3 linked regions of the Lonchura striata genome follow. The protein of the gene in region 3 purifies or fractionates together with the protein of the main gene of each other region. This does not show direct contact. Links are inferred from orthologs where the notes say so. Each region holds a gene or a part of one and is shown on either strand. Other genes may lie near its edges. The genes, in order: PLEKHA7, CTNNA1 and cadherin-1.

The links.
Region 1: the proteins of cadherin-1 (region 3) and PLEKHA7 purify together in Homo sapiens (co-immunoprecipitation; 3 studies listed by BioGRID and IntAct, with this or other methods). This does not show direct contact. The link is inferred for Lonchura striata from reciprocal best matches to the Homo sapiens genes CDH1 and PLEKHA7.
Region 2: the proteins of cadherin-1 (region 3) and CTNNA1 purify together in Homo sapiens (affinity purification with western blotting; 10 studies listed by BioGRID and IntAct, with this or other methods). This does not show direct contact. The link is inferred for Lonchura striata from reciprocal best matches to the Homo sapiens genes CDH1 and CTNNA1.

Annotation. Positions count from the first base shown.
Region 1 is NC_134608.1:49,092,217-49,102,653, forward strand, and holds the start of PLEKHA7 (pleckstrin homology domain-containing family A member 7), read left to right. Parts: upstream 1-5,402; 5' UTR 5,403-5,433; coding exon 5,434-5,516; intron 5,517-5,608; coding exon 5,609-5,685; intron 5,686-5,795; coding exon 5,796-5,853; intron 5,854-10,437. UniProt on the Homo sapiens protein: Required for zonula adherens biogenesis and maintenance. Acts via its interaction with CAMSAP3, which anchors microtubules at their minus-ends to zonula adherens, leading to the recruitment of KIFC3 kinesin to the junctional site.
Region 2 is NC_134617.1:16,847,853-16,858,381, forward strand, and holds the start of CTNNA1 (catenin alpha-1), read right to left. Parts: upstream 4,098-10,529; 5' UTR 3,989-4,097; intron 1-3,988. UniProt on the Homo sapiens protein: Associates with the cytoplasmic domain of a variety of cadherins. The association of catenins to cadherins produces a complex which is linked to the actin filament network, and which seems to be of primary importance for cadherins cell-adhesion properties.
Region 3 is NC_134615.1:22,958,800-22,969,528, forward strand, and holds the start of cadherin-1, read left to right. Parts: upstream 1-5,699; 5' UTR 5,700-5,784; coding exon 5,785-5,841; intron 5,842-5,955; coding exon 5,956-6,070; intron 6,071-9,228; coding exon 9,229-9,458; intron 9,459-9,556; coding exon 9,557-9,688; intron 9,689-9,780; coding exon 9,781-9,936; intron 9,937-10,010; coding exon 10,011-10,155; intron 10,156-10,267; coding exon 10,268-10,440; intron 10,441-10,729. Other genes in the region: B-cadherin-like, read left to right, coding at 723-919, 994-1,104, 1,227-1,382, 1,459-1,603, 1,716-1,891, 1,984-2,112, 2,191-2,376, 2,462-2,706 and 6 more.

The sequences.
Region 1 (10,437 bases), on a different chromosome or scaffold from region 3:
TCCCCTATTGTCTGATTAATACATTCTTCTACCTCTAAGAATCAGTATATTAATTTCTGGTGTCTTAAGCACTTACCACTGCTAAAAGGGAATCACGCTGCACAATCCTGAAGAACAATGTGGTTGCACAGCCTATATTTCAGTATAATCAGACAATGAACTGCTCTGAAATTGTCTTGCAAATTAATCTGTCTCACCATGAAACCTTTCATAATTTTAATTCTCAGCTGTTCCAAGCAGAGCTGGAAAATCATGCTAAAAGGCATAATACATGTTTTGCAGCTAAAGGGCATAATACATTATTTGCATTATGGCTTATAAGCTTTCTTAACCAGGATTTAATAATTCAGATTCATTACTCTTCCAATGCTCTGCCTCTGTCTGGCCTCACACCTTTTATAAGTCGTGCTTATGCTTTATAAAATATACAGCTCATGATGAAAAAGTCATAACTAGCAGGCTTTCCTATGCATTGTACCTCATTTGAGCTTCCTGAAATAGCAGCAGCTTTTGCCCTCTAAGATGATCAGATTCAATTGTATTGAATTCTCTGAAAAATAGGAAATAGATCATTAGAGTACACACCATGCTGAAATCCAGCTGTGATTCTCTAACCTTCTAGTCACTGGATCTAATTGTGAGTGAAGGAAATGATACCTTTTTTTTTTGTGATTCCCATATAGTATCTCTAGCAATATTTGCAGGTTCCTACTCAATGTTTTGCTGAAAAGTTATAGCATATGGAGGGTTGAAAAAATGCAGGGAAACATGTAGACCTGATGGTGCAGGGGGTGGGGGTGTGTGTAATGGAAGTGGAATAAAAGAGGAAATGAGAGTACTCAGATGTTGCCACTGCCAGGGTGAAGCTGGGTTGTCAGGGGAAGGGTTGAAAAGAAAGGGATGAGGTAGAAAGGATGTCCATATTCATGGAGTTTATTCTGGAAATAGCAAGGGCATGTAGTGGTAGGAAAAGGGCAATGGTTTTATACTGAAAGAGAACAAGTTTAGAATATAAATTAGGACTAAATTCTTTATGGTGAGGGTGGTGAGGCCCTGGCACAGGTTGCCCAGAGAAGCTGTGGGTGCCCCATCCCTGGCAGTGTTCAAGGCCAGGCTGGATGGGCTCTGAGCAGCCTGGGATAGTGGGAGGTGTCCCTGTCCCCCAGAGGACTTGGAATGAGGTGATATTTAAGATCCCCTTCCAACCCAAACCATTCTGTGATTCTCTGTTTCAATGAAAGTGCAGATACAGATTTTGGTGTACTTTAAAATGTATCACTGCTCTCCCAATTTAATGAAGTCAGCAAAAAAGTGTTCCCAGAGGATGCAGACAGAGCAAGTAACATTAGTGACACATTCCTATAGAGCTGTCAAATGTGGGTTCAAACTTCCAGTATTCAGGGACCTCATGATGTCTCCTTGAATTACCCAGTTATCAACAAAAGGAGCCACAAATATCCTAGGTTTTATTAGACCCCTGTTGAAGAACATAATTCACTTTCTTTAGCTGAGTTCCTGATATTGTGGCCTTAAAGTCCTAATTTTACCCCAAATAGTTTCTTCCAGACAGTGCCTCTAGAGTGTAATGAATGATAGATAATAGAAAAATGTCTGATATCAGCCAGAGAAGACTGGAACTAGAGCCTGAAAACAAAACAAAACAAAAAAAATAACAGAAGAACCAGAAGAATCTGGTAATGATGCCTGGAGGCATTCTTCCTCCAAGGTTTTAAATCACAAACCTACATCCTGATGAGGCCAACACAAGTCAGCTTGTGAACTTTTATGAATCTAGACTAAGTTTTCATCTTGATCTTAATTTTGGAATAGAGCTCTGCAAATTACAGTAAGAAAATGTGCTTTTCCAGTAATGCATTTCTCTGCAATTTGCAAGAGTATGTGATAATGTGCTAATGCCTTAGGCACCATGATGCATCAACTCCAGATTTGGTCATATGACAATGGTGACAAATTGAAACAGGGAGTTTCTAGCTTGATATGGTGAAAGTATTTTCACCACGGGCACAAGGGAACTAGTTGCTAAGAGATTATGTTGAATTTCTGTCCTTGGAGAATTTTCACATCCTTACCTGGACAAAGGCCTGGGTCACCTGGTCTAAAATCAATGCTGACACTGCAGGAGGCTGCACTGGTAACCCCAGTCTCTTTCATTGCAAGAATGGAAGAAAATCAATGAAATGGGGTCTGGGTTCACAACAAAAAAAAAGAAGGTGATTTTTCACTCGGGTAAGCTCAGGTAAGGTGAGCATTAGGAACACTTTGCTGCTGCTGGGTGACAGAAGTTGTGTGGCCTCTAGTCTGGACAGGTTCACAGAAAAGATCCATTAAGAGTTACACATGGTAATAACACCTTGAGCAAGATCTTTCTGAGCTCACAGCTTCTGCAGGCAAGCACTGGATGTAGGTACTGGAGCTAAGGAAAGAAGCTGGGCAGTTGCCTATGACTGCCTGGCTCCTGCACTCTTTCCTGGCACCTGCTCCTGTTGGGACATGAGACAGAATACTAGGCTAAACAGACATTTAGCTTGACCCAGTACAGATACCTTTAGGAGCTGAAATCCAAACCACAATAATGTTTTGTCAATGAAGTTACTATTCATTTGAGGTAGACAAGCCTATTTTGTCAAGATGGAGTTACAAGCTAAATGCAATGAGTTGATGCAGCTGATGGAGCACAGACTTGCTTCAGAGCATCATGGCAATGAGGGACTCCAGAGCAAGAGCTGGTCTTAATCTCTTCTGCACAGACCTAAACATGCAGTGACACTAAGTAACTTGTATTTGACTTTGGAATTGCACAGGGACTGACTTTATTGCAAGGTATGTGATAACTCACACCTGACCAGAATGACTCAGAATTGTTAGGGCTTGTGTGGTGGGTTGACACTGACATCAGGTGCTCACCAAAGCCACTCTGTTATTCCCCCTGCTCAAATAGGGGAGAGAAATTATAATCACAGGCTTGTGGGAGATCCCTCACCAGTTACTGTCACACGCAAAAGAGACACAGCTGGGGGAAATTAATTTAGTTTATTACCCATCTAAGCAGAATAGTATATTGAGAAATAAAATCAAATCTTAAAAACATCTTCCTCTACCCCCCATTCTTCCAATTTTATTCCTCATTCTCAGTACCACTGATGGGGAATGGAGGCTGTGGTCAGTTCATCACATGTTGCCTCTGCCACTCCTCCTCCTCCTCCCCTGGAAGACAGTTCTCCATCAACTTCTCCAACTAAGTCCCTTCCCATGGGCTGCAGCTGTGCATGTGCTGCTCCTGTGTGGGTCCCTTCCACGGGGTGTGCTCCTTCCTTCAGGAACAGGCTGCTCCAGCGTGGGTCCCCCCAGGGGTCACGGCCCCTGCCAGCAATCGTCCTCCACCACAGGCTCCTCTGTCCCTGGGGCCGCAGGCTCCAGCACAGGCTTCCCAGGGGGTCACAGCCTCCCTCAGGCTTTGGAGTGGAGTCCTCCACGGGCTGCAGGTGGATCTGTGCATCCCCGTGGTCCTCCACGGGCTGCAGGGGCACAGCTGCCTCACCATGGGCTGCAGGGGAATCTCGGCTCCTGTGCATCCTTCTGCACTGACCCTGGTGCCTGCAGGGCTGTTCCTCTCACATCTTCTCACTCATTCTCTGGCCCTATTCCCCCTTCCTGCTAACTTTTCTCCCTTTTTAAATCCCTTATCCAATACACTGGCCAACACTGAGTCCATCCTGGAGCTGGATGGCATTGCCTCTGTTGGATGTAAGGGAAGCTTCTGGCAGCTTCTGACAGAAGCCACTCCTGCAGCCTGCCTCCCTCCTCCCCCCCAGACTTTGCCATGGAAACCCAATAAGGTTAAAAAAATAAAGGCAGCACGGGAGTTTTAGTATTAGAAGTTTTAATCAAAATTCTGACTTAGGATAAAGGGCTACAAGATACTCTCTCCTGCTTTATAACTGTGGATAAACTAAAATTCTGTGGATTGTTAATGACCATTCCTGGTTATTAGCTGTCACTGTACAGTTTGTATATTTACTGTATATATACAGAATAGTATCTTCTCCAACAGTGGTCAAAAAGGGAAGTCTACACAAAGCTATCCTGATGCACCAGACCTGCAATGTTGTCTGAAACTGGCGTGAAATAAAGCAAAATCCTCTCTCTCCTGTCTAATGCTGCTTTTCTCGCCTCCTACTTTCTTCTGATGATTTATTTTGGTTATTTAGAAGGAAAAGCAAACGTTATCATTTTCCCTGTACTGCAGCACTCTGCCCTCTTACACTCTCCTACTGCATGCTGGCGTTCTCCCTCTCCCCCACAGCCGTGTCCTCAGTTGTCTCCTCTGTTTTTCTTCACTAACCTGACCCTAGTCAGACTCACCTACCCTTTCCCACCCCTTTTCGCAACCTGTCTTTCCCGTTTAACACTCTCCTTTCACGCCAAGCCTGCAGATGTCCCATTTCCTGCCTTTTTGACCCTCTCTCTTCCCCAGTATCAGAACATCAAGAGCCCTACAGAGCCATGCTTGGCTCCACCACTGCTGCCCTGATTGAAAGAGGCATTTCTGCTCCCTGAACCCCTTGGCTCTGTCAATCCTGCTGCAACTAGCGCTACCGCCAAGCCAGGGCACTGGCCAGGACTCCGCACCTGGCACCCATCCTCGCTCTGCTGCCTGGCGCTAGGATGAGAGTAGGAAACCTACGGGCTCTGCTGTAGGGCACACCACTCACTCCTTGCTTGTCCCACCCACTTTGTCCCTAAGCCACATTCTGAGTGACTGGAGCACTTAACTCTAGCTGGAGCATCCCCGCTCACCACACCAGCACCAGGAAGGGTTCTGGTCTGACAGGGAGCCAGCCCAGCCCCACTGAAGTTACCCTCCTGCCTCCTCCAGCTCAGGGACGAACACAGGGGCTGGCACAGGTCCCTCCCGATGCCGGCGACCGCTCTGCTTTGCCGGCCGGCTGCTGCTGCTGCCTCCGTGCGATGTTTTAACCTCGGTGCCCCCGCGGTTCAAAGTCCCCGCGGCCCGTCTGTCCCTCCTCACCTGGCGCCGCTGGCGAGCGCGTCCCCGGGGCACGGCGGCAGCCAGGTGCGCTCACACCTGTACATCCGCAGGGCTGCGGGAGCGGGGCGCGGGACAGTCCCGGTGCCTCCGCCGGGCGGAGCGCGCTGCGGGGATGCGCGGCTCCCGCCCGCGGCGGTGCCCACGGGAAGCCGCTGCGCCCCGCCAGCCCGGGCGGGGCCGGGGGGCGGGCGCGGGGCAGCGGCGGACAAAGCCGGGCAGCGCCGCGGGCCCCCGAGGGGCGGGAGGTGCCGCCCCCCGCCCGCGCCGCGGTGGCGCTGCCGAGCAGAGCCGGGCGCTGGGCGCCGAGCGCCGGCCGCCCGCCCGCCCGCACCCCCGCCCGGCCGGCCGCGCGCGCGGCGAACATGGCGGCGGCGGTGGGGCGGGACACTCTACCTGAGCACTGGTCCTACGGCGTCTGCAGGGACGGGCGCGTCTTCTTCATCGAGTAAGGGGGAGCCGCGGGAGGGGCGCGGGGGGCGGCGCGGCCCCGCCGCCGCCCTCACTAACAGGTGCACGTTTCCCGCTTCTCCCTCGCAGCGACCTGGCCCGCCGCACCACTTGGCTGCATCCGCGCACCGGCGAGCCCGTCAACTCCGGCCACATGATCCGCTCAGGTGGGTGCCCGCGGCGCGGCGCCCCCGCCGCGGCCGGGAGCCTCCGCGGGCGAAGTTCTCACCCCTCCTTCCCGCTCTCTCTCTCTTTCCCCGTCCCCCGTGCCTTGCAGACCTGCCCCGCGGATGGGAGGAGGGCTTCTCGGAGGAGGGCGCCAGCTACTTCATCGAGTGAGTACCGGCTCCCGGCCCCGCGCCGCCCGCCCAGGGCCGGGGGGCGCTGGCGGCGCGGCCCCGGCTCAGCCCGGCCCCGGCTCAGCCCGGCCGCCCCCGCTCCGACCCCGCACGTCGCCGGCTCCATCGTGATCCACGCCGGCCACAGCGGCACCGGGCTGCGCCGTGCCAGCGGCGAAGTTGGCTCCGGGCGCGGCGGGATGCGGCTCCCCCCGGCCGCGCTCTGGCGGTGGTCAGCAACAGGTTTCCTTGGAGGCGGCACTTCAGTTTTGCCTGTTTGTTCGGGGTTTTTTTTTTTGCGTGTGTTTGTTTGCGGGCTGGCTGCTCCCCCCTCTCCCCGCTATTTACGGTGAGGTTTGCGGCAGGTGGAGCGTCGCCTTGCTGAGCGCCGGCCGAGGTGGAAGGTGAATGGTGGTTTCGTTGTTTTAAATGGCTCGTGGCTGCGGACGCAGCCCCGGGAAGTTTTGCAAGTGAAAGGCGTCCAGTGTCTCTTCCCGGAGACGGGGCTGAACGGATGAAGTTGCCTTGCCAGGGCTGGTGGTGGATGTCGGGATCTTTCATGTGGCGTTTCTTGTTCGGAGAGCAATTACGAGCAGGGATGTGCTGCTTATTGAGACGCTTTTATTCTGAGATGCAAGCGTGTTGCAGCAAAGAGAGCTAAGAGAGCTTCTTTCAAACATTGCAGATATAAGGCTTTTGCAAAAACAAACGCCGATGTAAAAGTAGAGATTCAATCAAATGAGTAAAACTTTGGTACGTTTTGCATGTGGAGTCACGTGTGATGCCTTGGCGTTTCCCTTTGCAAAGCCGAATGCCTGACAAATTTAACGGAACGGGACTGGGAAATGCTCAGACTATCTCATTGCTCCGGTGCAGAACTCCCAGGCTGTTAAGTATAGCCCCAATAACTGCTGACAGCAGTGTCTCAGTTGTCCAGTATCGAAATGCCTGCAGAGCAAGGCATTTGAGTAACTTGAGGTTTTAGTAAATATCAAACTTCCAAACCATACTGGGCTCGGTGAAGAAGCAATTGACTGAAGGTGTAACAAATGCCTCACATGTAGGATGTTTGTTAAATAAAATTCCACATGATTATAAAATGTCCTTTTTTCACCTGCAGAGGAGAAAAAAGGCATTCAATCTTCATTTGTCTGAGCCAGAGAATTCCTTGCAGTACTGGGCTGGGCACTTAGTTTAGCCCTTGACTCTTGAGGAGGTGGTAGCAAAGCACTGGAGAGCAGCTCAATAACACTTGGAGCTGCCACCCTTTATCTATGGCTAGAGCACTGAAAAGAAGGAATAAAGTTCTGCTGGTTGCACAGGCCAGAGATGGAATTCTAAAATGTCCAGTCTGTGAATGTACTGTAAACAGATCCTTTACATGGGTAAACTTCTAGGTGTAGGAATACATCTATTTGTTTTTCTCTCTTTTCCAGAAACTTACTAGTGCAATTTTAGAACGGCTTAAATTCCTCTTCCCAACTGCTGTGTTTGGAACACCATCTCTTGTTTGTCAGGCACTTATAAAACTTTTAATTCGTGATCCATTGAATTAAGAGTTCTGTGTAATGCATTTTCATAACTTGTGCTAATAGTGCACTTTACCTTGGGCTGGAACTGCTGCAGGAAATGAAATGAGGAATGGAGTGTGTATTTTACTGAGCAGTTTAATAAACTCAATCATCTTTAGCCAAGCAGTTTTGTGAGGAGACAAAACAATGTTTTAACATAAATCTGTTCAGTTGAACTGCTTGAGACCCAAGATCCTCCTGATATGGAATGCAATATTTAATTCTTCAGCAGTGATACTTCACCCAGCACTGCTCTGACCTCTCTGATTTCAGCTCAGAGGCTCCTGAGCCCAATGGAATTTTTCATTTTTTCTACCATGAGCATACTGAGCTCTTGTTGGGCTCATGTAAACATCAGTGTCCTTAGATGATGATTTCTATACCTCACTGCTCTGTTCATTCCTCCTGTGTTGCTTCCACGTGATGAGTTCTCAGCTTACAGAAAAGGTTACTGGTCCCTAAACGCATGATTTCACATGCTGCTCTATTAAATTCCATTTTCTGGCATTCCAGCTCTCAAAAACCATGAACTTTCCTGGATAACTACCCAGTCCTCTTTGTACTGGTGACAGTTCCAGTCTGGTGCTGTCTACAGAAATTTGACAAACACATTGTTACTCCTTGGATACTAATATACTGAAGGGTGTCAGGAGGAACATTCCAAGTAACCCCTCCCCTTTGTGGTAATTTCCACAATTAATATAGCCTATTGTAGTTTTACCACACTGGCCACTTGATGGATCTTGTAAGTCTTATTCTTTCACTAATGAAATGAAAAGTATTATTACTAAGTATTATTGCTGTTTTAAATAACTTCAATCAAACATTTAAATATATATAGGCTAACTCCACTTACGTAACTGATTTCTGGTATAAAGGTCATGAAAATATTAGGTAAAACTTTGGATGTGAGTTGTCTCTTATGTAAAAAAAAAACCAAACTTAACTAGTCTTATGTCCATTTACTTCTGTGTCTTTATTGCTTCTTTCAATACTATGGACAAACTTGAAACATCATAAAATAAAACAAAGATCTGAAACATCACAGAATGAAACAAAGGTTTATAATATGGTCAAGCTGCATATCAAAACCAGGTAAGTTTTTCTCCCCTTTCCATGTAACAGGAGTTTGAAAATTTCCAAAACTCCACTTCTATTGGATAGAAGCTTTCCAAATGAACGTGCTGTGGTTTAGAATGTTTTTTGCTGTTCTGTGGTTGGGCAGCTGTCCTGTAGTTGAAGGGGTGCTGTTTTCCCTTTGGTTATTTGCATGAGATGCTTGTCTGAAATCACATTCCCTCTTAGCCTTATTTTGCTCAGCTGAGTGAGCCAAGTTCTTTGTGCAGCCCTTTAAGAAGGGCTCTCTGTCTGTTTGGTTGTCCTCTAGTTCTTCTCTGCACCTCTTGCAATACGAAGTCATCTTTGTTGCATGTGAGTGAACAGAGTCCTCTGCTGGAGTGAGCTTTTGTGAGGCTCTCAAACAACAAAAGTCCTTTCTTGGCTTCAAAAATTTCTCAGTTTTCTGCATTTTATGTTGCTTGCCTATTTAGGGAAGACGCCCACACTGGCAGCACATGCGAATGCTGCCAATTGACTGAAACATGCAGGTCTTTCTTTTTCTTTACTGCTTTAAATTTTAAGAACCGTAATTTAGGAAGCTACATTTCAGTTCTTCCCATTTATGCTTATCCTTATCTTTGTAAATTATTTTCTCTGTTCCAAATATTCCTCAGGTTTTCTTGATAGTGGCAAACCCTGTTAGGGCAGTGCTGTCTCTTATCCTAAAATCACTAAATAAAACATTAAATAAGTGATGTATAAATCAATTCTTCTGGATCTCCATGTAGTAGTCTTTGAAAATATCATGGTTGCTACATTTTTGGAGTGCTGAATACAGCTTGCACCACACTTTTCCATCTCTTTTTTTGTTTGTTTAATGATGTTTTTGAAATACCTTGTGTTTGTGGGGCAAGTGCTTTATGGGAGAGTCCCTGCAGAAAGGTTGTTGCTGAGCACATGTGGAGCTGAATGAACACTGGCTCTGGTTTGTTTCTGGTGGTTGGGTTGCTGATGTGAAATGTTAATTGTGGTTGGCAAACTCCTTGTGGGGAAGGAGATGGGCCATGCAGGGAGGGCAATGATGGTGGTAAAGCAGTGCATGTATGCATTAATTACAGTGCAGGTTTTTCTTTACGTTTGCTTCTCTTTTTCTGATTGTCCAAAAGACTTGGGGAAGTTGGAAAGCTTGGAAAGTGTGGAATGCTTTTTTATTCCCTTCCTACAGCTTTCAAAGGTTGAGGTGGCTGTTGGTGTGGAAGGATCTGTTCTTGCAGTGTTAGATAGCTAGCTGGCTTGTATTTAAATATGTTACAAATGTGTACTGCTGCTACAGAGGTTCTTTTTGAAAGCTGCCATGATATTGCACAGATGAAATGCAATCATGCATTCAAACTGTGGCCTAGAATTAGGAGCAAAAAAAGTAGAAACCAGCACTTAAATATCTGAAGTTAACATTTTATTAGTTTCTGAAGTCAGTTTCCACTTCAACTTGGCCTCTTCTTTGGGAAACAAAGTGGATGTACAAGAAACAAGCCTGTGAAATTGGCATAGCAATAGTCAGTAACTGTTTACAACTCTCACTTAATTCTTGTATTTAGCCTGTACTGTGTGTAGGAAATATGCATGGTATGTGTTTCAAGTGTTTGGAAATAGCAAAAGAGCAAAGAACACTATACAGAAGTCTGCCTTTTTAACTTTGTTTCTGCTGTGCCAGGTGTGTAGGTTCAGGTGCAATGTCACTGAAAACCATACAGGAGCTCAGATTCACCCACAGTGGGCTGCAGATGATACCCACTTAATGATTATTTAATCACAGAAACCCAAAGGGGAAGAGACCAGCTGGATTATTGAGTTCAGTTTTTTTGATTATCTGAGAAGATTGTTTTATAATCTCATTAATAAATTTAATTAACAGGTTTCTTCTGCCCTGCTGAAATTCCTGTCTTATTCA
Region 2 (10,529 bases), on a different chromosome or scaffold from region 3:
AGAGCTACCAGAGAACCACCTGGCCTCCAGCTTGGCTTCATGTGTGCTCTTCCACTCTCTGCCTTGGTAATGGTTATTCCTTTAGCTACAGCTGGCCTCATGCTTGCTTTTTCCATTCCTAGGTTTATTAGAGAATGGTTTGGCTTGGGAGGGACCTTAAAGTTCATCTCATTCCACTCCCACCATGGACAGGGACACCTTCCACTGTTCCAAGTGGCTCCAAGCTCCCATGTCCAACCTGGCCTTGGACACTTCCAGGGATCCAAGGGCAGCCACAACTGCTCTAGGCACCTTGTGCCAGGGCCTGCCCACCCTCATAGCCAAGAATTTTTCCCAATAGCCTATCTATCCTTGCCCACTGGCAGTGTGAAGCTGTTCCCCCTTGTCCTATCCCTCCATCCCTTGTCCAAAGTACCTCTCCAGCTCTCTCAGGAGTCCCTTTAGGCACTGGAAGGGGTTCTAAGGTCTCCACAGAGCCTCCTCCTCTCCAGGTGAACAATCCCAGCTGTGCCAGCCTTTCCTGCCAGCAGAGCTGCTCCATCCTCTGCTCATCCTGGAGCCTCCTCTGGCCTGGCTCCAGCAGCTCCAGCTCCTCCTGTGCTGGGACAGGGCTGGGGCAGCTCTGCAGCTGGGGGCTCACTTGAACAGGAGGTGGAGAATCCCTGCCCTTGATCTGCTGCCCACAGTGCTTCAGATAAGCCCGGGATACTGGCATTGATCCCTGAATTTAAAGCCTTTCAGAAGAGGCTCTTGGGAGTCTAACTGATTAATAACTAGCTGTCTTCTAAATTAGAGAAATTGTAACACAAGGGAACGTCAGACTGGGGGAGAATTTCACTTTGCAAACTGTGTTAGTTTAGATCTGTGTATTGAATAATTTCTATCACTTCACAAAACATGGGGAAAAAGATTACTCCTTTAATTCGACCAGAGATATTTATAATCACATATCAAAGGACTAACAGATGTTTTCTGTAGTACATCTGGGATTAACAAGCAAAAATATGTAATCATATTGAGAGAAAAGGTAGCTAGCTCTTTAAATCCATCAGTCACAAGGCATTATGAATCATATTTAAGTATCAGATAGTCTGGACTAACCTTCTGCACACCAGAAATCACAGTTACACCCATTCTCACCCTGACTAGCAGATAAGGAGTCTCAGTCACTAGAGGAGAACAATCCCACTTCCAGTTGCAGTGACCTCATTCCTCCTGCAACTCCTTCACCCCAGTAAATCCATCTGCACCCAGTTCTCCTTCGTGAAACAGCAGGCCACTCTCACAGCTTGTCTTTCCAGAGGAGCTCATCCAGTCAGGGTGCTAGCATACAATTTTGTGGTAGCTCTATTTTAAATCTCATTTTCTGGATTAAAATAGTATGGAGTTAAAAGTAGTAATTATCAAACATCTGCACTTTCTCTAAAGCTGCAATGCTGTTTAACCAACAGAGCAGCTATAAACTCACTGAATGGAGCTATTCCAGATTAGCTGTAGAACAGTTCGGGTGAATTCCCAGAGCAGTAACGGATCCCATTCCTCAAGGTCATACTCTCAACACTGAAGTTCTGCAGCACAAGCTTTTGAGTGATGTCAGTTAAGGCACAACAGCAGGAAGCCCCATCCCAGGAAGCATCCAAGGCCAGGGTAGAAGGGCTCAGAGCAGGTGCAGGGTTTCCCTGCAGGTGTCCCAGGAAGGTGCCCCTGCCCATGGCAGCAGAATGGAACCAGAGATTTAAGGTCTCTTTCAACCCAAACCAGTCTGTGACTCATCATTATGCTGAGTGACTGTCTCATAAGGTGCTGTCCTAACAAAGTGACACTCAGTCCTCTTTAATTCATCACGTTTCCTTTGGTGTCCAGCAAAGCTAAGAGAAACCAGTAAAACAGAACCCAGCAAGTCCTGAACAGAAGCACCACAGCCACGTGGGCCTTTGCTCCAGAGCAGCCCCACTGCCCACCTATGACGAGCAGGCTGGTTTGGCCACTCAGTATTTTTGTGATCTTAGCTAATTCTCTGCATAAGAAAGGTCATTTAGAAATCAAACAGTAACAGCAGATGTAAATTCAAGGCAGGCCTGAAGTCCCACAAAAGTGTATTTCCAGCTCATAAACAGTTCTGCTTAATCTGGATTCCTTTGCAAGATCAGTTTCTGTATCTTACAGCTGCAGAAAGAAGATATTCATGCTGCTGAAAAAACACAGATTACTCTTCTGTTACATCTTCCGGTTAAATTTATTAGACCAACAGAAGCCCTACGAAGAAGCCGCACCTTAAGGTCTGTCCTGACACATATCAGCACAGAAATGCTGATGTTTCAAAGCCTGAAAATCAACTGTGAGGAAAGTATTTACATTTGTATTTTAAAGCATCGATTTGAGCATGGGATTTCTAATCTCTGCCCACTGCGCTTCCCCCAGCCACCTTGTGTAAACTTTAAATCTCCGATGCAGAGGCCTATTATTAGAGCTGGCTGAAAAAAAACTGTAAAGACTGAAGGCACATTGTTTGTTATGGAAAAGGTTAGGGCAAAGCCTTTCTAAAAACAAAACCTACTAAACCTTTGTTTCTGCTGAGAAAAGTCAAAACATTTCCGTGATGTTTTAGAAATTGCTTCTTTGAAAATGATGAACAGTGACTCAACATCAAAGTATGTCCTTTCAAACAACATGTTTCGATTCAGAAGGGTGAAATAAGTACAACAACAAAACACTTAATGTGGCCTTGCTGCCCCGAGACAGAGCAAAGGCTACATCTAGCGTAAAATGAGCTGGGCTTTCACCTTCATCAACACAATCCTGCCTACAAACCAACCCAGGAACTGACATAAACAATCCCAGAACCTGGCGTAGCCAGCAGGACTGAGGAGTGTAGCCTCTCCCACCTCCCCAGACCCAGTGCAGCAAAAACACAGGAAACCATTAACTAGAGCACAAGTGACTGAAGCACCCAGAAAACACCTTCTGCACAACTCCCATCCCAAAAAAACAATAGACAAAGCCAAACGAAGGGGGAAGAGCAGCAAAGAGCTCCCAGACTAGTTCAATACAGATAGTCCAGACACGCCTGGAGTCACAACTCGGAATGCTGTGCTGAGGACGCGGTCATGGGGCTCGCAGCGATCGATGACCCTCGCCAGAAGCCACCTCCCGGGCACGGCTGGCGAGCCAAGGGCACACAGACAGGGAGCCGTGCCTTGCTCACATCTGACTCGTCACTAAACATAACTGGAACACACACTTTGCTGCAAACTTTCAGTCTGAAGGATTTTAGGCGTTTTGAACTGGCAGGAGCAATGAATAACAGGCGGGTGACCCACGCTACCCAGGGAACCCAGGGCCACAGGCAGCAGACGCAGGGGCCGCACATAACCCGGGAGCGGATGCGCTCTTCCTGCTTTTTGTCTGGGAAAAAGTAGCACGAAACTTTCTGTCAGCGAAGGAGAGGCCCACGCCCTCCAGCAGAGGAGGGGATTAGCGGTGGGTGTCAGAAAACGTGGCGGAGCCAGGTGGGGCCGCGGGGTGTTCCCGGCTGTCCGTGCACGGGATCAGCAGCACGGCCGGGGCTGGAGGAGGGCTCGATGCGGCCTCGGCCGCGCCGCCCGGGCAGACCGCGGGCCGAACGGCACGGAGCGCTGCCAGGGCTGCCGGCCGCGCCGGCCCTAGCGCAGCCGGGGAGCGGCGCCAGGGCGGCCCCGGCCGCGCGGGGAGGGGCCGGGACACCGCCCCGCCGCACCGAAACTTCGCCGGGAGCGGCCCGGCCGCGCGGCTCCCCCGGCGGAACGCGCTGGCGGCCCCCAGCACCGCGGGCCCGCCCGCTCCCACGCGGGCCCCGCCGCTCGGGGCAGCGCCGCCGCCACAGCCGGGCCCGGCTCCCTCCCCGCGCGCGGCCCGCTCCGCTCCCGCCCTCTGCCCCCCGCCCCAGCCCCGCGGCAGCACGGCCCGGCTGGCGCCCGAAAGTTTCCAAGTGCGAGAGCCGCAACTTTACCGGGGCAGAGCTGGGCTGGGATGGTGCGGCCGCCCCGGCTGCGCTCGGCCCCGCCGCTTTGTCCCGTCCCGCGGAGGAAATGGGCTCTTCCGGCGCCTCCCCGCCCGGCCCGGCCGCTCTTCCCGGCACCGCCCGCCGCGCCGCCCCCGCGCCCTGCCGGCGCCGCCCGCCCGCAGGTGAGGGACGGCGGGGCCGGGCCGGGCCGGGCCGGGCCGGGCGGGGCACGGCGGGACCCCCTCACCCCGGGCAGGACGGGGGGTCCCCTCACCCCGGGCAGGCACCTCCAAACCGCCCAGCCCTGCAGGGAGCCTGGCTCAGCTCCCTGTCCCCCTCGCCCCGTGCGCCCACGGGCAGCCTCCCTTCGCAGCCCTCCCCTGGCCGCCCCCAGCCCAGGCTCTTAGGATGGCACTTTTGAGGCAGAATCAACAAATTCGACGTCAATATCTGGCCTTGTCCTCCTAAGCGCAACTTACCGAGGGTCTTTGGAGAGAGGGGAAGTGATGGACGTAGGGGGTTTGAAGGAAACAGGGAAAGTTATGGGTTCCCCCTGGGTTTCTGTATTGGTGTTTTGTTTTGAAAAACCCAGATATTTTCACCCTCCAGAGAGCTGCTGCTTTTAGGAAACACCTTGTTTTCATCCAGATGTCTCTAATAACAAGACTACAGGTGAGAGGAAATCCCAGGGTACAAGCACGCCACAGGCACCCCTCTAAGAAGAGAGGAAGGTTTTGCAAACTTAACCTTGACCTGCAGAGGCAGGTCTGCAGGTGGAGAAAGTTGTCTTTATGTGGCAATTTGTTTTAAAGTTTTCTTTGAAAAGTCTCAGTGAGCATTTTGTGTGAGAGAGTGACAAATTACTCTGGGACTTTCTGTGGTGTGTTTTGAGATGGTTTTTGATACAAATCTCGCCACAGAATTTACACTTGTACTGGATTGTAAAGACGACTGAATAAATTGAATACATTTCATGACTCATTTGCCAGCACTTCTGCGATACCTGAAGCTACACACTCCATCCTTTGTTATTAAGCAAAAAATAGAGAGATTGAGTAACCTACAAGGAAGATTCATTCAAGGTATGTGACTGAGTGAGGGGCTGGCCCGAGGTCAGTGTCACAGCACAGGTGACCACACTGTGGTCAGGACTGTGACTTTCCTCCAGATGCTGGTTCAATGGGATTTGCAGGGCTGTGTTTCCCATCACTGCCATATTCCTACAAAACTTTCCTGCAGGAACACTCCTGTGGGGAATTAGATTGCATTTTTCCTTCCTGCAGATTTAATCCAAGAAAGAGATCCAAGACAAGGAAGTAAGTAGAGTACTGTTGTTTTATAATCCAGAAATAAAATAGGGATCAAGAGCCCAGCCTTGTCAGTGAGTGAAATTAGTCTAAAGAATGTGAGATCTGTAATTATGAAACTGACTGAGATACAGGTTATTAAAAAAAAAATACAGGTCTTCAGTGCCTCAACAAACAGACTCTCTTATGGAAATATGAGGAAAACAGATTTCTTAATTTCATTGTGTTTCCTGCTTATACCAAACCATTAATATTTGGTGTCAATTGCACCAGGGATCCAAACTACTCATTTCTGTCTGTAGCATACTCTCAGTAAAAATGGGAGTTTACACTTCAATAGCTTGCTTTCTTTCATTACTCGTTTTAATATCATGTCTTAGCCTCCTGTGGTGCCTTCCACATTCGGCAGTTCTCTGTGCCTCACATCCTTTCAGGACAAAATGTCAGATTAAAAAAAAATTCCTTTTTAAACCTACAGATTCCAAAGTAGAAGGCCTGGAGTTGTAGAGAATCACATGTTCTGCACTGCACCACTGAAAAGTCAAGGGAAAAGTAGGAGATCAGCTGGCAGCTCTGTTGGTTCATGGAGCGAGTTAAAAGGCTCAGCAAACAAAACATAAAATTATGTAAAAATAGAGCCAGCTAGCTTGAGATTGGACTTTGTCTCTTAATTAACAGCTCTCTCTGAATCACAGCACTGGGCTCTGTCAACAAGACTGAAATGCAGGGAGTGTTCAGACAGGCACCCAGCAACAGTAGCTCACACCTCCCATCCGGCCCATGTCATTGGCAGCTTGAAATCTAATGCATTTTCTGAAATGAGTTACAAGTGTTCTGCTTGGCCTCAAATCTTCCCATAACAGTGTTTGTGATTTTGTAATCCCATTTTCCTGGTGGTTTCTAAAATGTTTTTCTTGCCCTTTTTCACTGGCGAAAACGCAGGGTAAGCCAGGGGAGAGGACAGGGAGAGAGGCGAGGTGGCCACCCCGATACTGGGGGAGGTTGTTTGTGTAGAATGAACAAACGCTCCCGTCCAGTGAGGACGATCCAAGGTACCCAGAGCAGAGCGGGGCTGGCGGCTGCACACTCCTGGCAGCCTGGCCCTGTTCCTTAGGTGTGTACAAGGGCAATCCCTGGCCAGGGCCACCTGGAGATACTGTGTGGGTGTAGCCACTGCAGGGGAGCTGCATTCTCCTGTAAATCCTGGGCTGGGTCTGTGTAGGAAGGGGCTTGTTTATCTAGCAACCTGCTGGAGCTCCACTGTCTGCCAGTCTCAGTGTGTACGGGGTCTAAATGATGTGCCTCATCTGGAACTGGATTTTCTGTTTCTGTAACAATGCTGTTGAAGGGTAGTTGCTCCATTTCAAAATGTTTGTTTGGTCTCTGTGGTTTTGTGTTTGTTTTGGAGGGGTTTTTTAAGTGGTTTTGTTTAGTTATTTGCAAAAGATGGAAGCATTGCACCTCTCACGGCAGTTTCAAAGACAGGACTGCTGGAGCAGGAAGTGGTGAGGGGATTGAGAGGCATGACAGAAGGAAGGAAATAAAGTTGAGGAAAAGTAATACAGTGTTGTAATGGTAAGCTGAAGGTCCTGCTGGAGGGGCTGAATGGGCAGCAGGAACCAAGAGAGAGAGGAAAAATTCCAAATACTCTAAAGGAATCTCCAGGTTCAACTAGCAGCTGGTTGAGGCTTTCTGCACACTGATGTCATGCTGGGCCGTGGGGACAGCTCGAGGGCAGCCGTGCTGTGCCACCAGCTGTGTGACTGCCAGCAGCAGTCACCCAGTCACCGGGCACAGCCCTGTCACCTCCTGTCCCTGGGCTGCCAGCAAGGCAGGAGCAGGGCAGGGACTCGCAGCCGGTGAGCTTTGCTGTAGGAGTCACCCAAAATGCAGCCTCCCTCGAAGACTGGAGGCTCTGATGAAGTCAGGAATGTAGCAAAGGAACAATGAGGGCCTGGCACCAACTCCTGGGGGCTCTCCAGTGCTCATCTCAGTATTCCATGCAGCTGGGAGACAACACCATTTCTTTTCAGGGCTCAGACACATAAAGAGCTAAGATTGTCTTGCAGTATCCAGCTAGGAATGAGCATGTGTACAGCCAGAAACCAAATTCCAGTGTTCTGGGGCAATGCAATGGACTCTGGAAACGCTGGTATGTGGTGCTTCTGGGGAGACTGCAGGTACACAGCCTCAGCTGTGATTACAACACCTGCCTTGCTGAAATAAGCCTCAGTCAGGAGAAGAAGGGATTTACCAGTACACCTGCAGCTACACTGGGGCTCCCTGGCACTGCTGGCAGCGCAGGGATCAGACCCAGTTGATGCTGCAATGCCTCTGGGATCAGCAGTGGTTCTCTGGGAGCTGCAGCCACAGTGCTCCTGGTGCCAGGGCTGTGCTCCCCATCACTGCCACCCTCTCCAAGGAAAACTGTGTGCTAGAAACATGGCCCAGTTCCTAATCAAGAAGCCACTGGCTCCTAAGTGAAACACTCCCTTCCTACACTGTCAAATGCTCCTGGGCCCTCCAGAAAGAGAAGCAGTCTATAGCACCAGCATGGCCAGGAGCACAGGGGCTGTGGCACAGAGCCCGTGCTGCCTGCAAAAAACAGGCAGAAACTGTAATGAGGGGAAATTATGCCATCCCAAAAGGCTCAGCATGAACTGGGTTCACTGGTTGCTGTTCTTAGCCCAAGTAGTTTGCATTCACCTCCAGCTTCACACAGCCTTTGTGTAATAAACTGTCATAGCCCCGGAGAAGGGAACATTCAAAAAAGCACCCCGAGGCAATGCATAGCAGAAGCCTGAGAATCCTCCTGCATGAGTCACTGACCTCCACACACTGCATCTATTTCAGCCTTTAATTAATAATATTTTACATTTTTATGGCACTTTCCATCTGGAAAGATCCGAAAATGCTGTAAAGACTAAGGGGTGTACAGCACCATTGAAATGTGGTTCCTGTAGAGGTGGGACTGTGAGAGCTTAGCCAAGGGCACAGAGGAAAAAGGTTCTTCATGTTAAATGCAGCCTCTGTTACGTGACTGAGTATTTCATATCTGTGGAGAACAGACAAAAAGATTTTCGTTTCTAAGGCACTGCTTGAGTAAATAACACTGTCAATTGCTTTTGTAATCCAGGAGGTATGCAGTGCAGAACAAGTGCTGGGTGATTTTAATTTGGGGTGTTAAAAGGTCACAATTTAAGCTACAAATTGAAACCATCATTGGATCAAGGCTTTCCCACCTCCTGATAATTTATTCCCAAATGTTAGACACAAAGCAGAAGCCAGTGGAGTGGAAACAAACCCCAAGCTGACAGCACCTTACCCTGCATCCGGAGCACCGAACCCTCGCACATTCCCTGAAAGCTCAGCAGGATCGTGTGAGGCTTCAGCAAGGTCAAAACCAGCCCCAAGGAGCAAGTGGGGCAATGGAGAAAACCAGGAGGAAAGAGCCCTCCTGTCCCAAGGCTGACACAGCCCTCAAGGGGAGCCAGGGCTTTGCTGGACCAGCACAAATCCCTTCATTTTTATTTCTAAAGATTAAACAAGCCAAATCACTCTGCTCAGCAGATGAGCAGGGCCTGGCTTTCATGGGGGCAACCTAAAGGACTGTTAGCCACAGCTGGCATCCCTCTTTACTAAGTACTTGGCCAAAGTGAGCTGGGAGCACTTGACCACAAAGAGTTTTCAAAGGAATGTCAAATTTCTCTTTTTCTCAGTGTGATTCTAAACTATTTTTATCTGCCTCTTTCTGGAAGAGAGACACGGGCATTGCCACGACTAGCCGTAAACTTTCATTACTTCCCGAGGAGAAATTGCAGAGAAATTACAGGCTAGTGCACTCTTTTTATGTCTCCTGCTCCGGGCATGTCAGCACTGCTGCATTCCAGTCTACCCCCAACACATTCCTCCCTGCGAGTCCTGTCCCCTCCCCGCCTGCTGATGGACATTAATGACCTCCCTCGGTAATTAACACATTGAGCGCCGCTGTCAGCACGAGATGAGTCCCCAGTGCTGGAACAGCACATTCTGTATGTGCAGGGTGGGATCAGTCCCGACTGCCCCTCCACCCCAGCGTGCCCCTTGGCACCCGAGCTGCACCCGCCCCCTTTGCCCGCTGAGTGCAGGGCAGTGGGGGCACACGGAGCCTGTGGCTGCACCATTCCTGTGCTCCCCGTGGGAACACCTGAACTCGCACATGCCATGTGCAGCTCCTCACTGCTCCTCCAGGCACGCAAAGCTGTGCGGAGAAACACCCGTAATCCTTGTTTCAGCATTATGAGGTGCCGGTAGCAGATATGAATTATCCCTCTCCCATAAAGACAAACACCTACAAGTAGTTTCTATACTGTTATACGATCAGGGAGACTGAGGCAGAGCAAATGAGTGCGCCGAACCCTGCAGCTCCTGCCCCAGGCTCATCTCCCTGCCGTTCCCAGCCCCGAGTCCAAGCACTGCAGTGCGCCAGAGCTCCCTGAGCCTGGAAATCCCACACCCATGTGGCTTTTTAGGCATGGAAACTTCATCCAAAGGGAGAAATTCTGTCGTCAAGGTGAAAAGCATTGCTACTGAAATGTGATCAAAGAGAGAGTTATCAACTTAAGTGTACTCAGGAGTTTCTGTTCCAGACAGAATTATCAATGAGAAACCAATCTTATAAGGTAGCTGCTATTGATAGGGAAATAAAAGGAATACAGTTCTTACCAGACAGACCTAAGTTGCTCCAAATTGCTGTCAGCTTGAAATATCTTACTGGTAATTTGTTTCCAAATTCTTTCTCCCTAAATTTGATTTGTTGCTGTACAGTGGATGATCTATTCTGCACAGCACCTCAAAGAGCATTCCCGTTGTCCTCTCCCTGATTGTTTGTGAGCTATCACTTCTGGGAGTTGGCAGCCTTTATTATAAAAAGGGACATCATTGCTTGAAAAGCAGACTTTTGTCTGAGGCTGTGGTATCTGCTGTCCTTACAAATAGTAGCTGAGATTACTGGGAGGAAAGTCATCAAGGAAAAGACACTTTTCCTCCCCATCTTTGAGCATGGACAAGCGGCCACTCTCTGTGTCTGTACCCTGGGGCAGGGGAAGGATGGGGCAGCATTTTCTATCAGGATGTGAATAAATCCTTTCACCAGGATCCCTTTTAACCAGGATAAAATCTCACCTCCTGTGGTACTGTAGCAAGAGCAGGAACATCACACCCAGCAACTTTTTTCTGCTGATCTCTGCTCTTTCTTATGT
Region 3 (10,729 bases):
GGAGCGGGGCTGGGGGCTCCCCACGGCGGGGGCTGGGGGCTTCCCCGGGCTCCCAATGCCCAGCTTGCCAGGGTGACTGATGCCCCTCCAGCCCTGTTAAAGTTCTTTATCGCGGCCATCGCGACTGGGAGGGGCCCCGGCGCTGCCCTCGGGGCACGGTTGCTGCTCCCCACACGGCCCCACCGTCGCCCTCGGGCTCGGTCCCTCCGGTGTGGAGCAGCCGTGGGGCACAGCTCTCCCTGCCCCATTCCACACCTTCCGCAGCCCCCCCGGGCCGCTCGGCCGCCCGGAGCTGGCTCAGCTCCGCTAATCCCCTAATCCTTCCCCCGGGGGGTGCGGAGCCGGGGCTGTGTCCGGCACGAGGGATGCAGCGTGGGAGGCGGGGGAGGGAGATTCAGTGCCCAACGATCTGGCCACGGGGGGTTGGGAGCCCCGAGGGGGTGACACACCGGGAGGGGGCTGGGGCAGGGCTCTGCCCGCGCAGGAATTTCCCATCATCTGTGAAACAAAGCCGAAACTTCCACCGAAACTTCCACTGCGCTCCCGTACGGCGCCCGGTGTTCCCTGCCCCGCTCCCGGTGTCCTCTTCCCCTCTTCTACCGTCCCCTGGCTCACTCCGCCTCGGCACTCTGGGGGATTGCAGGGTCCTGGAGCTGGTGGTTGCGGCTCGGGGGTGTCGGGGGAGAAGTTCCCCCCACCCCCCTGACCCCTCACCCTCGCAGGGAGCTCCGGAGGCTGCGCGGGGCCGTACAGGACGGAGGAGCCCGATGTCGGGGTGCGGGAGGACGGGGGCCCCGTGCGGCTACCGGGGCTGGGCAGGGCGCTCGCCGTACCCCCCCGAGATGCTGGTTCTCCCCGATATGCCGCTGGCCAGCCAGACCCTGGCCCAGTTCCCGCAGAGAGCAGGCGCTCCCCCCAGGTAACGCTGCACCGCATATCCCCCACCCCCTGCTCCCCCAGCCGGCTGTGCCCTCACTCACCCCCATCCCACAGGAGCTGCCCGGGGCTCGCGCTGTTCTCAGGAGGCAGAAGAGGGATTGGGTGATCCCCCCCATCAAGGTTCCTGAAAATGAGAGGGGCCCCTTCCCCAAAAAGCTGGTTCAGGTACGACACTGGGCAGTCTGGGCATGGGGGTGGGTGCTGGGGGTGCATCCCCGCTGCATCGAGCAGGGTGTGGTGGGGTGGGGGATTCTGACCTCAGCCCCTTGGTCTGTGTCTCCTCCCAGATCAAATCCAACAGGGACAGAGACACCAAGATCTTCTACAGCATCACCGGGCAGGGAGCGGACGCCCCTCCCGAGGGCATCTTCACCATTGAGAAGGAGTCGGGCTGGATGAAAGTAACGCAGCCGCTGGACCGCGAGCACATCGACAAGTACCACGTAGGTCCTTGCCTGGGGACACCAGAGGGATGTTGGGGTGCTGTGCCAGGCCCCCCACTCACACCCCACCCCGCAGCTCTTCTCCCACGCCGTGTCTGAGAACGGGAAGCCCGTGGAGGAGCCGATGGAGATCATCGTGACAGTGACGGACCAGAATGACAACAAGCCCCAGTTCACACAGGAGGTGTTCAGGGGCTCTGTGCCAGAGGGAGCTCTGCCAGGTAGGACCCCGGGCCTTGGGGAAGCTCTGCATCCCACCAGCCGTATTCCTTGGGCACAGCCTCGGCACTGTGCCCCCCAGCATCCCACTTACCTGCACACCCACATCCCCAGGCACCTCCATCATGCAGGTGACAGCCACGGATGCGGACGATGCAGTGGAGACCTACAATGGTGTCATTGCCTACTCCATCCTCAGCCAGGAGCCACGGGAGCCCCATCCCCAAATGTTCACTGTCAACCGGGCCACTGGCACCCTCAGCGTGATTGCCAGCGGCCTCGACCGGGAGGTGGGCTCTGCAGCACTGTGGGGCAGGGTCCCAGCCCCAAGCAGGGACTGACACAGTGTCTGTCTGTCTGTCTGTCTGTCTGTCCACCACAGCGTGTGCGGGAGTACACACTGACCGTGCAGGCAGCTGACCTGGATGGTGAGGGACTGACCACCACAGCGCTGGCTGTCATCGAGATCGCCGACGTCAATGACAATGCCCCCGAGTTTGACCCCAAAATGGTAATGTGGGCACCCCCACTGGTGTGATTCTCCTGGTGCCCGCTGGGCCGTGGTGCTGATGATGCCCCTCACCTGCAGTACGAGGCGGCCGTGCCGGAGAACGCGGCCGGGCAGGAGGTGGCCCGGCTGGCTGTCACCGACCTGGACGAGCCCGGCACGCCGGCGTGGCGAGCCGTCTACTCCATCCTGCGCGGCAACGACGGGGGTGCCTTTGCCATCACCACCGATCCCGCCACCAACGAGGGCATCCTCCGCACTGCCAAGGTCTTTGTCATCCCATGTCCCCCATGCTGCCCACGGAGAGTCCTGCCTGTCCCACTGTCACTGCCGGTGTCTCCCCCTCTGCCAGGGTCTGGACTATGAGGCCAAGCAGCAGTTCGTGCTCCACGTGGCAGTGGCCAACGAGGTCCCCTTCGTCGTGAAGCTGCCGATGGCCACTGCTACGGTGACTGTCACTGTAGAGGATGTCAATGAGGCCCCGGAGTTCGTGCCACCCGTGCAGCTGGCCACGGTGTCAGAGGATGTGCCCCCGGGGCAGACCCTCACAGCCTGCATGGCCCAGGACCCTGACAAGGCACAGGGCCAGACGATCAAGTGAGCGGGAACAGGGTTGGAGTGGAGGTTTGGGGGATCTCTGCTGCCCCTCGCCCTAGCACCAGCTCCCTGTGCCCCCCAGGTACCTGGTGGGGCACGACCCGGCGGGCTGGCTGGCCGTGCACCCTGAGAATGGCCTGGTGACCGCACGGGACCACCTGGACCGCGAGTCCCCCTTCGTCAAGAACAGCACCTACATAGCTGTGCTGCTGGCCGTGGATGATGGTGAGGGACATGAAAGGGCCCTTGTTCCCCCTCCCGCGTGAGGAACACGTGCTGCCATCACCAGGAAACACATCCCAACTCCAGCCTGGCCCCACCCTGCCCGGGGAACCCCAGCTCCCTGAGGATCCTGGGTTTGGGACTGCCCCTTCCAGCATCACTCCTTGCTGTTCCCACCCTTGCCCACAGCGGCTCTGTCCCTGGGAAAGCCTTGGTTTTGAGGCTCCTCCTGTCCCCATGCCTGCTTAGTCACCCATGTCCCCATGAGAGCCCTGGGTTTGGGATCCCCCCTCCAGAACTGTCCCCACCAGGCTCACCACCGGCCACGGGCACGGGCACGCTACTCCTCACCCTGCTCGATGTGAACGACAACGGCCCCGAGGCGGAGCCACGGGACATCACAGTCTGCCAGCGCAGTCCCCAGCCCCAGCTCCTCACCGTCACCGACCGGGACCTGCCCCCCAACACCGGCCCCTTCCGCGCCGAGCTCACCCACGGCTCGGGGGACAGCTGGGCTGTGGAGGTGGGGGACACAGGTATTGCAGGGGGGCTGAACATACTGTGGGGGTCCTCGGCAGAGGCAGCTGTGCCACGGCCGCATTCCTGGTGCGTTGTCCGTGAGCCCCCAATCCCACGCAGGTGACACAGTGACACTGCAGCTGGTGGCACCGCTGGAGCCAGACACCTACAGTGTGTACCTGCGGCTGCTGGACCAGCCGGGCAGAGCCCAAGTGACCATTGTCACCGCACGGGTCTGCGCCTGTGAGGGGCAGGCACAGGGCTGTCCCCAGAGGTCCCAGCCTGTCACCGCCCTGCCCTTCGTCCTCGCCACCCTGGGCGCGCTGCTGGCCCTGCTGCGTGAGTGGAGATCCTGGGGCTCCTGGGGCTGCGGGGATACCCCAGCTCTGGGCACAGAGGGGGACACATGTCCCTCCTGATGGCACTCTGCCCCTCAGTCATCCTGCTGCTGCTGCTGCTCTTCATGAGGAGGAGGAAGGTGACAAAGGAGCCGCTGCTGCTGCCTGAAGATGACACAAGGGACAACATCTTCTACTACGGGGAGGAAGGTGGCGGCGAGGAGGACCAGGTGGGTGTGGGGGTCAGGGACCTGGTGACAGCGTGAGCAACCTGACTGTGCCCCTCTCCATGTGTGTGTGTCCCCAGAACTATGACCTGCGGCAGCTGCACCGGGGGCTGGACGCCCGGCCCGAGGTGATCCGCAATGATGTGGCCCCCCCGCTCATGGCGGCCCCCCAGTACCGGCCTCGCCCCGCCAACCCCGACGAGATCGGGAACTTCATCGACGAGGTGAGTCCTGCCCCGGGAGCCTCGGGGGTGACACGTCCCTGCCTCACCGGCGCAGGGGACACAGGTGCTGAGCCCTCTGTTCCCCCAGAACCTGAAGGCGGCCGACACGGACCCCACGGCCCCCCCCTACGACTCGCTGCTGGTGTTCGACTACGAGGGCAGCGGCTCGGAGGCCACCTCGCTCAGCTCCCTCAACTCCTCCGCCTCCGACGGCGACCAGGACTACGACTACCTCAACGACTGGGGCGGCCGCTTCCGCAAGCTGGCCGAGCTCTACGGCGGCGGCGAGGAGGACGATTAGGGACCCCCAGCCTGCCTCTGCCCCCGCCTTATTGCTGCTTCTGTGCCTTGGGGGTTCCCCCTGCCGTGCCCCCTCCCCACCCCAGCGCAGCCCCCTCACCTCCTCGCCTGCATTTTTGTGGTTATTATCTATTTTTTAAGGTATGGAATGATGGCGTGTGATGCTGCAGACAAGGGGATGGGAGCCGGGTCAGTTTTAATAAAGGATTTGGTTTTTTTAGATGTTTCAGGGTCTGTGTCACTTTGTGCCCTGGAGGTCGGTGCTGCCCCTAGCCCAGCAATGACCCCGCTCCAGCCCTGTCCTCCCTTGCCCACTGCAGTGTGGAACCTCTGGCACAGCTGCAGCGTCATGCATCACTGGCCATGCAGGGCCAGTGCCCGTGCCCCCCGTCCTGGGGTGTCTTCGTCCCCAGGGGGTGTTGATGGGTATGGGCAGTGCACTGACTGCCAATCTGTCCATGGGAGTGACACTGGTGGCATTGGGCATTGCTGGTGCTAAATCTCTCCTGGCCTGGGCAGACACAGCCCTGCTGCTACCCCAACCCCCTGAGATGACCATGGGTGCTAGCATGGGTGGGCACAGCAGCCTCTGGCCTTGGCAGGACCCTAAGCTCTGAGGGTCTCCCACTGGCTCCAGGATCAGGTCCTGACACAGGATGGGGGTCCCCTTCCCCAGCTTTGGGGATGGAGGGGTATAGGGGAAGTCAGGGACTGCAGCATCCTGAGGGGCCCTTCCTGCCCGAGGGGTCCCTGGGTACGATGTTTGTCCCCTGCTGCAGAGCTGGGATCTGGGGCCGTGGCATGGGGGCACCCTGGGGTACTCCTGGCTCCTGTCACCCACCAACACCCCCTGCTCCCACTACCCTGGACGGGAGAGGCATGGAAAGCACGAGAGCTGTGTGGCTGGGGCTGGGAATATCAGAGGCTCGAGGAACAGCGGGTACCTGGGACGGGCAGAGCACCAGGCGTGTAGAGGGTACCGGGGGCTGGTGGGGTACTGGGGGTACCACGGTACCGGGGACCGTGGGAGAGAACCGCACCGGTACCGTGGGGGGTTCCCGGGTACCGGGCGTCATAGGTACCGGGAATACGGGGGTGCGGGCGGGGAGGGACCGCCTCCCGTCGGGGCGGGACGGGGCGGTTCTCGGCGGGGCCGACACCTGCGAGGAGGGATCGGGAGGGGACCGGACGCACCTGCGACTCCGCGGCGGCAGCGCCCGATCCCTCCGGCACCAACCGGCACCGGCTATGGGGCGGCGGGCGGGCTGCTCCGTCCCTCTCTGCCTCCTCTTGCTCCTGCTCCAGGTGAGCCACGGAATGGGGCGGCAGGACCCCGCCTAGGACCCCGCCGAGACCCTGCCCGGGGCAGCGGGACCTTGCTCGGGACCCTGCCCGGTGCTAACGAATCTCTCCGGGCAGAGCGGGCAGCGGCTGTGCCAGCGAGCAGCGTCGTGCCAGCCCGGCTTCGCCGCCGAGACCTTCACCCTGACGGTGCCGCGGGACGGCGTGGCGGCGGGACGGGCACTGGGACGGGGTAAGGACACGGGGACAACCGGGTGTGGGGACAGGGTGGCTGTGGGATGAGGACGGGACTATGGGTACAGGGGGGTGTGTGGGACAGGGACGGCCAGTGGGGGACATAAAGCCGTGTCTCCGTGCCCGAGTGGTGCTGGCGCGGCCACGGGGATGGGGCCGTGGGGACAGGGCTGTGGCAGCGGGGACAGTGCCATGACGGTGGGGACAGGCTCGCTGCGGTGGCAGGTGGCATGGGGGACAGAGCCTGGTGTGTCCACACGCAGCGGAGGGGCCACACTGCTGGTCCCAGCGCAGGCAGCCGTCGGGGGTCCTGGCACGGCGGGACGGTGCCGTGGCGCGGGGGCCGCGGCAGCCGCTCCCCGGGGCGCGCCGGCGCGGGCGGCGCTGACTCAGGCACCGCAGACCTGTCGGGGCCGGCAGCCTGGGGTGTGGGGCACGCAGGCGCCTGCCCTGCCCCGTGCCTCGCCTGGCACCCGGGGTTCACCATGGTGAGCCCCGCTTTGGACCCACTGTGTAGGCCGCCAGGCCAGCTCTTGGCATGGGGATGGGCACCAGGATGGGCTCCTGGGCTTTTGGGGATGTTGGTGTCCCACTGTGTTGGCATTAATGCCCTGTTCTGGCATGGCAAGGGGGCACTGGGGACTCATGTGCTGGGGATCTGCTGCCACTCTGGGACCCCCAAAAGAGACTCCGTGGGCTCTGGGGCTGTGTGCAGTGGTTGTCACCATCTGCACCAGTTCGTGGCTGAGACTGGTGCTGGCACTGCAGTGTGTGTGCCAGGGTGGCCAGGTGGGCAAAGGGCTGAGGGGTAATGAGCACCCAGTGCTGCACCCAGGCTCCCAAACATCCTCAGCTCTGTAATGGCTTCGCCTGGGAGAGCCAGGAATTGGACCCTGCCCCATACCCCAGGAATTGTGTTTGTTTGCCTTGTGGTTGATCATTAACGTGCACAAGTTGATGTCCATCAGGGCTGGGCCTGATACGAGGGGGGGGGGTGACGGGCAGCCCTGTGACTTCCCTGCAGCACCGAGACCTGCTGGAAATCCTCTGTCCCAGCACCAGCACTTTCAGCTTTGGGTTCCGGGCACAGTCAGGGCGTGGGAGGAAGGAAGGGACCGTCTGCCCTTGAGGCCTGTGTGGCACCCAGTGATTCACAGCTGTGCCACAGTAATGCCACCTGTGGGGTGGCTGAGCCTGGTGGATGCCAGGCCGTGCTGGGCCATGGAGCACCCCAAAGCTTGCAGCCAGGCTGACGATCCGGCCTGTAATTAGCTTGATGAGTTGAGAACTGTGTTTTCCCTCCAACAGGCCCAGACAAGCCCCACGCGGCGCCTGGGCGGCGAACAGCAACACCTGCGTGGGGGCTGCGGCACCGCCAGGGCCCTGCTCCGTGGGTCGGGGGGCTCTGGGGTGGTGGGCATGTGGTGGGGGCTGGGATAGTGCCCCTCAATCCTGGGTGGAGAAACCTCGAGAGTCTGAAGTCACAGCGAAACTGGGGTGACGTCAGTGGGATGTGTCACCCGCAGCACCTTCACCCTGGGGTGAGCCCCCTGCCCTGTACAGCTGCATGTGTGCAACACACGGGGTGGTGGCACTGCAGGGATGGATGGGGACACCCTGCTCTGCCTGTGCCCAGTCCCACTGAGACCTCACAGGACATGAGGTGGCTTTGGGGGCCTGCCCTGATCCCCTGTGTGGGGTCTCAGCCCCACACCCAGTTTGGCAGCCTGGTTGTACCAGTCTGGTTGTCCCAGTGTTCTGTAGATGGTAGTGGGGGGGGGATCCCCCTTGAAGTGGGGGGATCCCCCTGAAGGACTCTCTTGAGTTCTTCTTTTCTCCCACCCCCATCATTCCCAGGAGAGGGCCCCCCTTCCACCCCCCCAGCTCGCAGCCCCGGGGAGAGGAGGGCTGGGGCCAGCCCTCCTTCAGCCGAGCTGGAAAAACAGGTTGTGCACAGCCAGGTGGGAAGGGGGGGAGTTGGAGGGGGAGAGCGGGAAGGGGGGAGCGGGTTCTGAGCACCCTCCTGGAAGCCAGTGCGAGCTGAGCACTGAGCGCTCACTGCACGCAGTGTGGGGCTGGGGGCCCCGTGCCGCCCCTCCTGCACCCACCGGGCCCCGAGCCAGGCCGAGCGCTGGGGCTGCGCCCGCGGCTGCCTCTCCTTCCCCGCCTGCCCCGGCACGCTCCTGCCCAGCCGGCCGCACCGGCTCCGCCCGCCCTGCCCGGGGGTCCTGCCGCGGGGCTGGCATCGCACCGGCGGCTCCTCCCGGGCCGGCTCGGGGGCACCGTGGTGGGCAGGGGGGCAGCGATCGTACCCCCTTGCATCCCGCAGCCAGCCCGCATTCCTGGGCTGCTCGTGGGCTGATGTAACCCACGGCTCCGTTCCCTTCCCTCCGTCCGGCGGTGCCTCCTTGCCCACCCCGGCACGGCCCCTGCCGGGGCGCGGGTCAGCCGGGGCGGCGGTGCCAGGGCTGGCTCCGGGGCCTGGGTGCCGCTGGCTCGCACAACCCTCTCCCAGACAAAGGCTGTTTGTTCGGGAGCGCGGCCCGGCTCATGTGATGCCCGCTGACCGCTGCCTCGTGGCGGCCCAGCTCTGCCGCGCCCAGCCGGGTGCCCAGCTAGTGACATCGGGCCCCGCCTGCCCGCTGAACCTGAGATTGGGGGTCCCAGAGCTACCTGGGCAGGCTGAGGGGCCTGACTGCCAGGACACTGGTGCCAGTGCAGGTGGATGGCTGCTGCCCTTGTTTTTATTGAAAAAGCAGCTGGAGCAGCATGGGCACAGTGGTGGTGACATGCTATGCCTGGGGACATGCTGTGCCACGGGGATACACCCATATGGGGATGTGCTGTGCCTGGTGCCATGCCATATATGGTGCTGGGGACTGGGACATGCTGTGCCAGGTGCCACTTGCTCCACTGTCACTGTCCGGCAGGGGTCCTCTGGCACAGTAGGTCCTGCCATGTCCCATCCTGGACCAAGACCAGAGCAAGGATGCACTGTGTGTTGTACCCAGGATGAAATCCTGGCAGGGCATCTGTCACTGTGTGTGGAGCATCCCTACCACTGCTGTGACCCCACACCCCAGGCTGCTGAAGTGGGGCTGTGCTGTGTGTGCCCATGTCCCCAGAACCCTCTGCCACTCAGTCCCTTGTCCCCAGTGAACTTTGTGGACTGTGGCGAGCCACGCCGTGCCGCCTTCCTCCCGGATGACACGCGCTTCAAGGTGAGCAGGGATGGCATTGTCTCTGCCACCCGGCCCCTGCAGCTCCAGCAGCGGGAGATCACCTTTGCTGTGCACACCTGGGACACCATGGGCAAGAAGCATTCAGCCAAGGTGACCCTGCGCCAGCGGTGGCACCAGCACCGACACCACGAGCGGGTGCAGCAGGTAAAGCACAGACCCACTCCCTGGGTCACAGCAGCTCCCGTCTCTGGTGCAGAGGGCTCAGCTGCAGAGGGCACTGAGCAGAGCCACTGTCCCAACAGGACACAGTGCCGGACACGCTGATCTTCCCGGAGCACGGACACGGCCTCCGGCGGCACAAGAGGGATTGGGTCATCCCCCCCATCAACTGCCCTGAGAATGAGCGGGGGCCCTTCCCCAAGAAGCTGGTGCAGGTATGTGTCCCCACAAGAACCAGGCAGGGTGCAGGGGTGTCCCCAGAGTGCTGGGACATGTCTCCACCCCCCTCTTCCTGCCCTGCTGCCAGATCAAATCCAACAAGGACAAGGAGACCAAGGTTTTCTACAGCATCACGGGGCAGGGAGCGGATACCATCCCCGCGGGTGTCTTCATCATCGAGCGGGAGACGGGGTGGCTGGAGGTGACAAAACCCCTGGACCGGGAGGAGAAGGATAAATACGTGGTGAGTGAGGGGGCATCTGTGGCGGGACGGGAACAGCCCTGGGGACTGCACACACACTGACTGTGCCCTTGCAGCTCTACTCCCACGCCGTGTCGGCCAACGGGCAGCCCGTGGAAGACCCCATGGAGATCATCATCACCGTCACTGACCAGAACGACAACCGGCCCGTCTTCACCCAGCAAGTCTTTGTTGGCTACATTGAGGAGAATGCAAAGCCGGGTACGTGGGGACTCAGCTGGGGCCACACAGAGCCCTGAGAGCAAGCAGTGCCAGGGTGTCTGGTGGATTCTGTCTCATCATTAAAATCTCCCTGGCTTGTCCCCGTGTCCAGGCACATCTGTGATGACCGTGAACGCTACGGATGCAGATGATGCGATCAATGTGAACAATGGCATCATCGGCTACTCCATCCTCAGCGAGGAGCCCAAGGGTGCACAGCGGATGTTCACCATCAATGCCGAGAAGGGCATCATCAGTGTCATTGGCACAGGACTGGACCGGGAGGTGGGCACCTTGCCACAGCCCAAGGGAACCTGCATCTATTCCACAGTGCAATGTGCCATGGGGAGAATGGGATACTGCAGCCCTGGGGTCCATCTGGTTTCGGGATGTGACATCTCTGGGTCACTGTCCCTGGCTGTAGGGATGTCTACTGCCTTAAGCCCACCAGGAGCTATGCTGGGAACACTCCAGGAACCCCCAGCCTTGCTGAGCCCTGGCGTGGGTACAGTGCCAGCCCCTTGGGTGGCCAGCTGGGACATTGGCTGCCTCTGTGCCAGCAGGAAACAGTGAA